3 linked regions of the Daphnia pulex genome follow. The protein of the gene in region 3 purifies or fractionates together with the protein of the main gene of each other region. This does not show direct contact. Links are inferred from orthologs where the notes say so. Each region holds a gene or a part of one and is shown on either strand. Other genes may lie near its edges.

Region 1 (3,752 bases), on a different chromosome or scaffold from region 3:
AAAAGCAACTCCCACACTACTTCTTACAGTGACCCCTAAAGGCCTTGGCCATCTCCAAGAAACCCTTCTTCTTCGACTTGTTTTTGACGTTGACCACTTCGTAAAAGTGAGTGCCGATCTTCTTCTTTTTCTGATCGCGATCGATCTTTCTCCTCTCTCTCGAAGTCAGCTTCCAGCGCGGGTTTTCCGGTCGGTCGTCCTCGTCACCGCCGCCTCCTTTCTTGGTCGATCGCGACGTGGGCGTCACGGAAAAGGCCCCGCTCTTGGTGATGGTTCTCGCTTTGAGTTTCAGGGTCTTGGCTTGTTTCTTCTTGGCCGCCGCATCCACGTCGCTATCTTCCTCTTCTTCTTCGTCCATCTCATCCTCGTAATCGTCTTCCTCGTCGTCGAGACCTTCGTGGTCTTCCCCTTTGGACACATCAGCCGATTTCGACTCTTCCGTCGCTTTGTCGGTGGCCACATTCTCCTCTGCGTCTTCATCGTCTTCCGCTTCGTCGGCCGAAGGGTCGTCCATGAAGTCCGGCTGGGCCTCCAAAGGCTGGACGTCGTCACCTTCGTATTTCAGATCCACCCGAATTTTACTGAAATCCTGGGCCAATCTGGGCTCGAATTTCTTCTTGTCCTTTTCAGTCTCCTCTCCCGACTCTTCAACAGCGGCGGCTGTGGCATCTCCTTCGGTTTTCTCCTCCACTTTGGCCGCATCCGGATTGACAGGGGCGACGAAGAAAGGCAATTTGCCTCGCTGCCAATCGTTCAAGACCATTCGGGCCACGGCGTTGTTGTCCGGTTCTCCACCCTTTAGCAGCCTGCCCGTTCGGCGGGCCATCTGGTCGAGAAAGTCGGTGGCATCTTTCCAGTCGTTCAACCTGTAGACGCGGCTCAAATACTCTTTCTTCACCCGTTCCAGCACAGCTGGAATAAAGTCTTCGGGCGTTTTCAGCTTTTCCACTTGAACGACACCCTGAAAGAATAGAGCAATCGTATTAGAATTTGCAATCAGGTAAATCAAATTGCGATCGGTTTACCTTCAACACTTTTTCCTCGTCCGTCTCTCCGGTGGGAAATACAACTCCCGGGCAGTCGATGAGGAAGATTCGACGCATCAGCGTGATGTACTGCCAGACTTTGGTCTCACCGGCGATGGGCGCCACCTTGCAGACTTTCTTGCTGCGCAGGGTATTGATGACGGACGATTTTCCAACATTCGGGTAGCCGATGAAACCCACGCTGATTTGTTTCTTGTCGCTGTGAAGCTTGCCGAACTGGCGCAGCAAATTGATCAACGAACCTTTACCAAAGGGATGGGTCATCGAAGAACGGAAGGCCATGGTGGGGTACTCGGAGCTGAGCGTCTTGACCCAACGTTGGGTAATCCAAGTTGGTACCAAATCCACCTAGAAAGAAGCATGGAATGAGGCCAGGGGTCTAAATTATCTTGGGAATGACTTTGCTTACCTTGTTGAGCACGAAAAACAATTGCTTGTGGCTTTTTTCTTTACGGATATAAGCTTCGACTTGCTTGCATCGAGTTCCCAAAGGATCACGGGCGTCCAAAACCTTTTCAAATTAAACATTTAGTACAATTGAACTCAAATAAATGATTTGGTATAATTCAATACCTGGATAATGACGTCCGAGCAGTCAATCACTTTGTACAATTCTCCCCAGATTCGTTTGCTGAGGCCAGCCTTCATGATCCACTCTCGAGTCAGTTCGCGATCGTCTGGCAGATCACGAACCAAAGCTCCGTCCTTTTCGATTTCGTAACCGTCACCGAATTTTTGGGCTGAGGATACGTAGCTGTCCAAGTCACCGGTGGCAAGGCTCGGCCGCTTTCGCTGTTTCTTGGGGCCAAAAGTGTTTTCAAAGCTTTCAGTTTCCAGCAAGTGAACTCTTGCGAATTTAGAGGATTCCTTCAGCAGAGTGATGGGCAGCTTTGTCTGACGCATTACTACTTGATAGGGATCCTTGATGGCCTGTCCAAGTTCTTCTTGGAATTTCTGGAGTGCTGATTGGCCAACCTAAATATAGTCACGTAGATTAAGATATTTGATCACTATCAAAGAAATGGTGAAGTAGTAATTACGATCACATACCACTCTGACATTTCCAAACCAGCGCCGGTTAGGTTCCACACGTGCAACAGTACCAGATGCAAATTTGGATTGAAAAGGTGCTGGGCGGATGACTTTGCCTGATTCATCACGCTTGGCCTTAAAGTTACGGTACATCTGCAATCGTTTGATTGTGGCCTTATCTCTTGCCTTGCTCACTCCCCTCAGACCAGAAATTTTTCGATCTGGGTTCATACTGCATCAGAAGATTTTATTAGCAAACATTTAGTATATTAGTGACAAATAACAAACCTGTGTCCGGATCGGTTAAATCCATCTTTTCGTCCGGCCTTTTTGACCGGATCGGTCTTACGGACAGTCCTAGCCATTTTGAGGAAGTACGATGCTTAAACCTGTTTTTAACATTTGAAAACATTGCTATTCAAAACACGAAAATACTGAAAATAAATATACGACCTACCACTCAGAATCAGTAGCTTCAATATCTGTAACGTAAACAGATCAAATGCAAACTACTTTTATAAAAAAACAAAATTTGTCATAAACTTTAAAGCGTACAACTTTTCGTACTTCTTTTCACACGTGTTGTCGTGAAAAGTCTCTCAAGAAAACGTCTGCTATTTGAGCTGACATCTAGGAACAAATTCCAAAGTTAAAACGTGCTGCCATCTAGCGGTAAAAAATTCACATAGTAAAAAAAAAAAATTATCATTCCATGTCGCCTATCGACGTAAAATGCCCAGTGGCAGAATGACTAAAGAAAAAACCTGTTTGACTAGCTCAGCCTATCCCTTTGGTAACAGCTTATTACTTATCGGAACACAAATCACATCCTCTTCTTTTTTTTTTAACTCTGCGTGTCATTGACCGACCAACCAACACACAAAAAAAACCACTTTGAATCCTCTCCATCCCTATAAGGATTATATAGGCGGGTTCGATAATATTTTTCTCCTTCTTTCTTTAAAAAAAAATCAACCAATATAGTATACATGCACTTGTATACGAACACACACAGTTATAAAAGAAATTTAAAAATTTCCGAGTCGTGAAGTTACATGAAATGTGTATACAACATCATTTACGAGGAACCGTGCGTACAAGACACAAGAAATATTTAAAAAAAAACACACACACACAAACTTGTCTTTTTTGAAAATTTTTCTATCTTTCATATTTCTTTTTTTCTTTTCTTTTTGTTGTCTGCTTTTCGATATGATGTGCTAAAAATGTAAATGAAGTTCTCTCGCCCGTCGGCGGCTTCTTTCTCTGCCAGGAGAATACATGTAGTATAAAAGACATGGTAATAATTTCATGCGACATCTCAATGACATTTCGGCAATTTTTCCCACCAAACAAAAAAAAAATTCAAAAATTTCCGCATTGGATTTAAAAAACAAACAAAAGTCGATAGCAAAAAATCGCGCAGAAATATTTTAAAAAAGAAAAAATTCCCATTCTGTTCTACATCTAAACAAATGAAAGAGAGAACAACGCATATGTACACTGGGTTCAAATTTTGTGATTTTCCCTGGCCAATTTAATTAATTTTTAAAATGGCGGAAATGTCTAGATTGCGCATTTTATTCGTTCATTTCAAGCCCTGGCCAGCTGCTGATCGCCATCTTCTTTGTGGTTGGCATTGTTGGTCGTCGTGTTGGTGGTGGATCGGATGAC
Region 2 (3,752 bases), on a different chromosome or scaffold from region 3:
GTTTCCGGACTTCGACGGCGTACAGCAAGTTCCGGTAATTGACGAAGTTCTCAAAACACCAATTCTGCCCGTGTTACAACGACGACACAAATGCAATCAGTGTTACAGTAAATCACAATTTAGTGGGTTCGTCAACACCTACTCGGTTCTGTTTAGCTGTTCTGAAAGCGCGGAAAATGTTCAACAGAGTCATATGGTCGCCCTCCGAGGAAGCGAATTTAGCACGGACGTTGTTGGCCTGTTCCCGTTGGGCAGTGGCGTTGATCATGATCGAATCGGCCGACAACAGCGCGACGATGCTCACAATTTCCTCCCTGCGATTAAAAGACACAAACACAACGACCGCAACCGGTCGATTTGATTGCTGAATCACTGGCACGGGAATCCAATCAAGCGGCAAAACTTACGTGCATCCGAGCTCTTTCGATGCCAATATCAGTTTGGTGAAGCGTGGATCAAGTGGGAAAGCTGCCATCTGTTGGCCCACTTCGGTTAAAACAGGTTTCTCTGTCGATTGAATCCCGCCCAGTAAGTGAAGTTCCCGCATGGCTCCTTCGATAAGCTGTGGAATCGATTAGATTCAATGAAATACGTACACAATTCAATCTATAGTCCAAACATTTCAGGGAATCTTACCTCAGTTGGCGGTTTATCCATGAAATCAAAATTCAGCGGATCTTGCACGCCCAAGGCCAGAAGTTGAAGCACAACAGTAGTCAAACTGCAACCTAGAATTTCCAAAAATTCTGTCAATATAGTGTTTATGGCATTTTTACTTATAAATCTTACGTTGAATTTCAGGTATTGGATTTGGCGCCATTTTCTCAAAATCCTAATTGAATAAACCAACATTTTACAACTAATCACAAATCTCAAATAACTTTTAAAAAGTTACATTCAATGTATAGGCACGATAGCAGAATCCGGCTGCTTGTCGACCAGCTCGACCAGCCCGTTGCCAAGCCTGAGCCTGGGCGATTTTTTGTATTCTAAGAATATCCATTCCAGTAGCGGGCATGTGAGTTCTGAATCATTGATACAAAGATTCAATGACAAAATCCAAGCATGATGATTGTGTAGTAGAAATTACCTGGCTTTGACGCGACCGCAGTCGATAACGTAACGTATACCATCAATCGTGACAGAAGTTTCAGCAATATTTGTACTGAGCACCACTTTTCTTGTGTTTGGCGGTGGGTTATTGAACGCCTCCATCTGCTGATTTTGCGGTAAGTTTGCAAACAGTGGGCAAACTTTTAAATTTGGATATTTGCCTTGCAGGTCCTATAGTAAATATTTACCACGTGAATAAGCTGTTTACTTTAAAATTTTTTTAGATTAAACTGTATACCTTGGCTATCGTACGAGCACTTTTGGCGAAAGCTTCAATCTCTTCTTGGCCGGTCAAGAAGATTAGAATGTGATGACTAGGTAAACAAAAATCAAAAGAGAATTATAAACAGGATCATAGGACAATTTGAAAATAGATGTTTTCTTACTCAGCTGGTGCATCTTTATGAATTTGAAAGAGAGTCACCAATGAGCTAAAAAGATAGTCTTCTTGAGTTTGCTTGGCGTGAAAGACTTGGATAGGAAACTGTCGACCTTCCAGGTACACTACGGAAGCTTTATTGAAATAATGGCTGAAATGGTCAACATCCATAGTGGCAGACATGATCACAATCTAAGAAATGGAATTATGTTATGTCATTCAATGCTGATAAAGTTAAAAGGTAAACTCACTTTCAACTTATTGTTTCCTTGTTCTGCACGTCGTTTCTGGGCAGTTTTGACAACGCTGAACAACACATCTGTGTGAATGGTCCTTTCGTGAGCCTCATCAAGAATGATGACGCTATATCTCTTCAGGAGTGGATCCAGCATGGCCTCTCTGAGTAACATACCATCTGTCAAGAATTTGATTTTGGTTTTGAAGTTGGACATGTCTTCAAAGCGTACAGTGTATCCAACTGTTGTGCCAAGCTGAGCACCCATCTCTTGCGCTACCCTGGTGGCAAGAGTTATGGCAGCAACTCTTCTTGGCTGTAAAAGATTTAAACACTACAATTAAACTTTTCCCACATAAAATGGGTAGAATTAACAAACCTGAGTGACTGCAATAGTTCCATTCTCAGTCATTGCATGAGTGAAGATGTACTGGGGAATCTGTGTTGTTTTCCCGCTTCCAGTTTCTCCAATAACGATTAAAGTTTGATGTTTCCTCAGTTCTTCAAGTAACCTTTAAAAACAAACAAAAATGCATTAACAAAACACATTACAAAATTTTACTAAAGAAATATTACTTTTGGCGAACTGGGTAGATTGGTAAGGCCTGCCGTTGGGCCAGCAAGTCCTCTCTAGAGTAGTGTGCTGGCATAGGTCGTTTATTGGGAGAGTTTGAATCCCTGCCTGGAGGTCTGTGGGCATTACCATTAAACTTAACTATTTTGGGGAAGGAAGCTCCCGAATTCCCACTATTCTGAGCAGGACGTTTGCCGTGCGAACCGTTAGCACCGTCATTATTATTCTGTGACGAGGAGTCAGTCATTCTCATGTCAAAGTGTTTGCCCGAAAGTGTGCGGAACTCTACGACGGCAGCTCAATTTCCCACAATGAAAACAATTTGAATCGACAAGAATTTAATAAATCATGATTCACACTATCCCAAAAAAGTAGTCAAAATTTGAATTAAAAAATAGAAAAATTGGAAACTTGTTTGATTTGTCAAGAACAAGACAACTGCACTCGTTGTCGATTCGTGCTAGTTCGTCTGCTAGGAAATAACGTGGGGGTAATTTGCTGCATTGCACAATTTCCAATAAAAGTCCACTCATCGTCAATTTCTTTTTACAAAAAAAGAAATAATGCTTGATTGGCTTTTGTTAGTCTTCCCGAATTACCTATTTACGTATTCATCCGTTACGATGCCGGCCATTTCTCCAGTTGAGCATTCCAAAACGTGCCACTTGCCCAACAATGGAAAGAATTTCCCCCGAGTGCGGTGTTTTTCTAAAATAGAAGAGACTAAAGATATGTATTTCCACCCATCAGAAAAAAGACGTTATTATCGGCAACTGAAAAAAAAACCGCTCCTTCACGTTTTCTGACAATAGTCTACGCCATAATAACGGCCTGCTAGACGTATTGATATAACGATTGTCATCTCGACAAACTGTGAAAAACTCGAAGCATGTGCCGACAAGAGAACTTCTTAGCTTTCCCCCCTCCAAAACAACAGCAGGTAGACTGTTGAAACTTGAAAATAACTCCATCCACAACTGAACCGTTTAAATTATAATTCAAACGGAAGAGAGATGTGTCTAAAAGATATTACAGCGGAGGAGGGGGGAAGAAGTTAAGACTCTCAAAACAAACGGGACATTTTGACGAAAGCGGGTTCTTCTTTTCTCTCGTCTTTTGTACTACGGTAATGGACGCGACCGTTATGTGTGCACGTCCAGCAGTTGATGACTCTATAAACATTTTCTGTGCATTTTTTAAAACAAATTTTTCTCCCCCCTCGTCTTCCTGTTTGGTTTGACCCTGGTCATAATCTTTCAGTTCTTTTAAACAAGAAACACCACAGCTGTTTTTTAAACAAATGTTTTATTTCTTTAGTTGCAGATGATACGTGTGTAAATGCCCTGCACTCTTGAATGGGTTCCAGTATGTACACAAAAGACGTGCAACCTGTCGGAACTAAAGACCGCATCCGCTGTTGCATATAGAGCTTCGCGCCCAGCTGATGTTGT
Region 3 (3,752 bases):
CTGTATCAGTAGTGCGACTTCCATCCCATTTTACATTACTGCACTTAGCAGGCATGTCAGCAGGCAGTGTATTCGTTGCTGGGTCAGTGCTGGTTATGAGGGAATGCTCCTCCTTGACGGGCTCGGATTTCGTTTCTTTGACTGGTTCAGTCGGAAGGGTTGCATCCTTACTTTTACAAGTTTCGTTTGTCAGTTTTGCGTCGACTTGCTTAGTGGAAGGTCCAAATATTTTCCCACTAATGAGACGAATCTTGTTACCCAGTTTTCTTAAAGGTGGTGTGTCCTTAGTAGAGGGTGGATCCATCTCTGTGTCGCTGTAGTAAACCTTCTGTTCACTACGTGTTGGATTAGCTCTTTCTGATTCAGTATCACTCAATGATCGAACGATCCATTTCTGACTGACACTGCCGCTGCTAGTGGTACTGCTGCTGCTGTTGTCCTGCTGAGTGTTATCTGATACTTGCCACTTAGTGGCGACTGTGGGCCCACCGTTACTTGACACTGTAGTTGGTGTCTCAATAGGAGTTGGAGATGGGCTGACTTGCCACTTGGTTTCGGTAGCTTTCAAAACAGCAGATGATGAATGGGTTTCTGTGGTAGCATTGGTTGTGGCAGTTTCTTTCTCTGGTTCTTCATCCGACGATTCGCCATCGTAAGGCACCAAGGCGGTCGGATTTTTAAGTGGGGAGGTTTTTGGAGCAGTTACAGGGACGACGCGTGGTTCTTCCTTGACGGCTGATACGTTAACAGGAGCAACAGTAACAACAGGAGAAGGGGGGAGCGCCGTAGAAGATTTGAATAGTGCCGACCCGTTTCGCATAATCAATCGAGGTTTTGTTAGAAGAGGATCAGCCTTTTTTAGTTCAATTTGGATTTTTGGACGAGAGGGCTCTGAAATTATCGCCGGTCGTGGAATCGGAAGCTTAGGCGAAGGAGCTGGACTGTTAGCTTGGATGTTACTTATTTTAGCCATACTATTAGTAGGAGTAGAAGGAGACGATTGCACTTTCTCGTAGATCAATACATATGCGCCCGTACTCATTGCGACATTAAGTGAGATTAGACGGACGGAGCAATCGTCGAAGAGATACAGTTGTCCATTGCTTGCCTCTGCAATCGCGGTGTAATGACCGCAATGCTGTGATGGACCCATGTGATTGATGAGCGATACAAACTTGTAGGCAACACAGGGTCCACCCGACGACTGATGAAAAAGAAAGCGATTCAAGTTCAGGTTACGACTGAACTGGATGTGCTTGGACATTTTCCCGCCCATGAGTCCAAAACGCTTCAACTGGATGCACAGTACATTCGGGGCGCGCTCAATTGAAAATTTTTTGGTAGCAGGGACCTTGCTCTTGCATTTTTCGCATTTATAAGCATTGTCTCCTTCAAGCCTCTCGCGACGGAAATAATGACCCAAAGCATCATCTAGAGTTGAGGCATGCTGAATATCCAAAGGGATGTCCTACATATAAAGAAGAAAAGAAAAATATTAACTTGCTTTAGAAATAACTATCACCTTTTTAAAAAAAAAAATACCTGAAAATGTTGGAAGGTGGTTGATGTGTGTTTACACTTCAAACAAGTAACCTCAGTTCGTATGTAGCCTCCAAATATCTGCCCGAGAGGGTTAGTCTCTTTACTACGCGAGTCGAGTTTAGTTCCACCGACGCTCTGAAGATACGCCTTTTCCATAGCTTCCATTAAGTATCGCATAAATTCATGGGCATCTTCTTGCCTTCCATGAACTAAATGTTTGCAAATCAGTTTTAGTCTATTGTAGACCAAAATGGGTTTGATAACAGATCCTGATTTGTCGTGCGTAGACTGAAGTGTCTTAGCAATAATACACACAACACAGAGCTGACTTCCATTAGGATCACAGTTTTTACATTGTCTAACACTCGACAGCCAGTTAGACAATGATGGGACGTGGAAAAGTGCCTAAAATTATTTAAAAAAAAAAAAACATTAAATAATGTATGTACATAAAAAAGATTTAATACTTACTTGTAACGTTGAATTCATATAACAAGTATTTCCCATATTTATCATGCCAGCTCCAACTGGTACAGAGCCTTTCCACCCAACTTTCACATCTTCACTTCGAAACAGGGTGACCTTGGGGGCTGGGAGCGAATCTTGAATTGTCACAGGACTTGATCCTACATTTAATATCATTAATTTATGTAACAAACTTATTAATAAGGGAAAGAAGTAACTTGGAACTGATAAAAATACCATTTAGGGATGTGATTTTAGCAGAAAGGCTGGAATTGAGCACAGTATACTTGCTCTTCAATGTGTCCAGCGAAAGTAGTTGTTGTTTAGGAGCAGGTTCATATTCAATGGATGAGAGCAATACTCTCTTGGCAGATGCTGCCAACCGATCCTCGAGTAATTCTGGAGCATTTTCTGTTTCATGCGAGTAAGGACCCTTTTTCCCGCTCAAAGCGGTTCGCAGTACGAGAGCCACCGGATCGGCCACCGAAGCAGGCATAACAAAAATGCACAATGTCAACAAAATGAAACAAATCAAACTAGAGAAACAAATAGCAGTGGATTCAATAATTTTTTCGTCAAAACGTCATGCCCAAAAGTCACAAATTTACTGGTAACACATTTGCTTCGAGAGCAACAACACGTGAACAGGGCCAAGACACGTTCACAGCCGAAATCCTTCGCCATTAAAATGAGGTACCAGTTTGCTATCAACCCTAAACACCCCATCATTGGAATCATTATCTTGAAAATTCGCTTACATTTTGAAAAATTATCATTTACAATCATACAATGTTTGAGAAAATATTCAATAATAAAATATTTTATATGTCAACAATAAAAAATTGTAGGTGTTAATTTTAGAATAAAATAATAACCATGTCATTCCCTAAACACAGAGTTGCTATGGAGACATTAATAGCCATGCTTTCAAACAAACTTCGCCTCAAGACTTATTCATTCCTTTTAAGCAGCCCAACAAAATTTAAAAAATGTCGTATCGAGAAATTACAGGTAAAATAAAGATTTCTGTAAAATCTTTGAGACGATACATGTTTCTTCTTTTTTTTATAATGATTTCTAAAAATTATAGATTTTATTGATAAAATGTGTTTACTCGGTTACCCGCGTTTAATTTCTCGCGAGAATTTCCGATCGACTAATTTCGGATTAGTAGCTGAGATATTGAATTGGTTTTGCCAGCAGTTGGATGTCAACAGTGGAATTAATTTTCTCATAAAAACAGAACAGGAGCGCGTAGTTTTCGTAACATCCGTTGTAAAATTCCTGGTAAAATGCTTTCTTAAACTTATTATTATTAAAATTTTTAATGCCCGTGATATATTTAATACAATAACAACTTTCCTCTTTCAGAATACCAAATTACAAATAAAGCTAAATCCTAAAAGACTTTACCAAGGTAAGTGATTCACGATAAATGTAAACGTAATAGATCTAGTAATTTTTTATGATTATTTGTATCTAGCGGACAATATAGCAGTGAGAGAGCTTCTCAACGTGGCCAATTTTTTTTACGAGGCCTTGCAGCTTGCTCGTAAAGGAGGTGACAATAACGAGCCTTCTCTTTACGGATTTGGTGGTCAAGTAAATTTATTAGATTACCATTACAAGGTTTTAGTATTGACACCGATGTGATTCAAGGCGGAAGATGTTCGTGAAATGCGTCAACTTGCTTCTGAGATTACAACAAAAGGAGCTTCCATACACGATTTTTTAGGCCAAGAGAT

What was found.
Region 1: the proteins of ubiquitin carboxyl-terminal hydrolase 36-like (region 3) and nucleolar GTP-binding protein 2-like purify together in Homo sapiens (affinity purification with mass spectrometry; 3 studies listed by BioGRID and IntAct, with this or other methods). This does not show direct contact. The link is inferred for Daphnia pulex from reciprocal best matches to the Homo sapiens genes USP36 and GNL2.
Region 2: the proteins of ubiquitin carboxyl-terminal hydrolase 36-like (region 3) and ATP-dependent RNA helicase DHX33-like purify together in Homo sapiens (affinity purification with mass spectrometry; 5 studies listed by BioGRID and IntAct, counting the BioPlex papers as one, with this or other methods). This does not show direct contact. The link is inferred for Daphnia pulex from reciprocal best matches to the Homo sapiens genes USP36 and DHX33.

What each region holds. Positions count from the first base shown.
Region 1 is NC_060028.1:1,711,865-1,715,616, forward strand, and holds the start of nucleolar GTP-binding protein 2-like, read right to left. Parts: upstream 2,687-3,752; 5' UTR 2,536-2,686; intron 2,468-2,535; 5' UTR 2,444-2,467; coding exon 2,367-2,443; intron 2,311-2,366; coding exon 2,097-2,310; intron 2,022-2,096; coding exon 1,620-2,021; intron 1,558-1,619; coding exon 1,456-1,557; intron 1,395-1,455; coding exon 1,026-1,394; intron 962-1,025; coding exon 17-961; 3' UTR 1-16. Other genes in the region: protein trapped in endoderm-1-like, read right to left, coding at 3,672-3,752. UniProt on the Homo sapiens protein: GTPase that associates with pre-60S ribosomal subunits in the nucleolus and is required for their nuclear export and maturation.
Region 2 is NC_060023.1:1,400,359-1,404,110, forward strand, and holds the start of ATP-dependent RNA helicase DHX33-like, read right to left. Parts: upstream 2,786-3,752; 5' UTR 2,555-2,785; coding exon 2,304-2,554; intron 2,240-2,303; coding exon 2,107-2,239; intron 2,044-2,106; coding exon 1,744-2,043; intron 1,685-1,743; coding exon 1,500-1,684; intron 1,428-1,499; coding exon 1,352-1,427; intron 1,285-1,351; coding exon 1,091-1,284; intron 1,026-1,090; coding exon 896-1,025; intron 833-895; coding exon 790-832; intron 729-789; coding exon 637-728; intron 563-636; coding exon 408-562; intron 315-407; coding exon 143-314; intron 65-142; coding exon 1-64. UniProt on the Homo sapiens protein: Implicated in nucleolar organization, ribosome biogenesis, protein synthesis and cytoplasmic dsRNA sensing. Stimulates RNA polymerase I transcription of the 47S precursor rRNA.
Region 3 is NC_060018.1:5,362,704-5,366,455, reverse strand, and holds the start of ubiquitin carboxyl-terminal hydrolase 36-like, read right to left. Parts: upstream 2,704-3,752; 5' UTR 2,504-2,703; coding exon 2,245-2,503; intron 2,169-2,244; coding exon 2,014-2,168; intron 1,948-2,013; coding exon 1,543-1,947; intron 1,469-1,542; coding exon 1-1,468. Other genes in the region: clusterin-associated protein 1-like, read left to right, coding at 2,997-3,018, 3,098-3,294, 3,379-3,424, 3,491-3,609, 3,667-3,752. UniProt on the Homo sapiens protein: Deubiquitinase essential for the regulation of nucleolar structure and function. Required for cell and organism viability.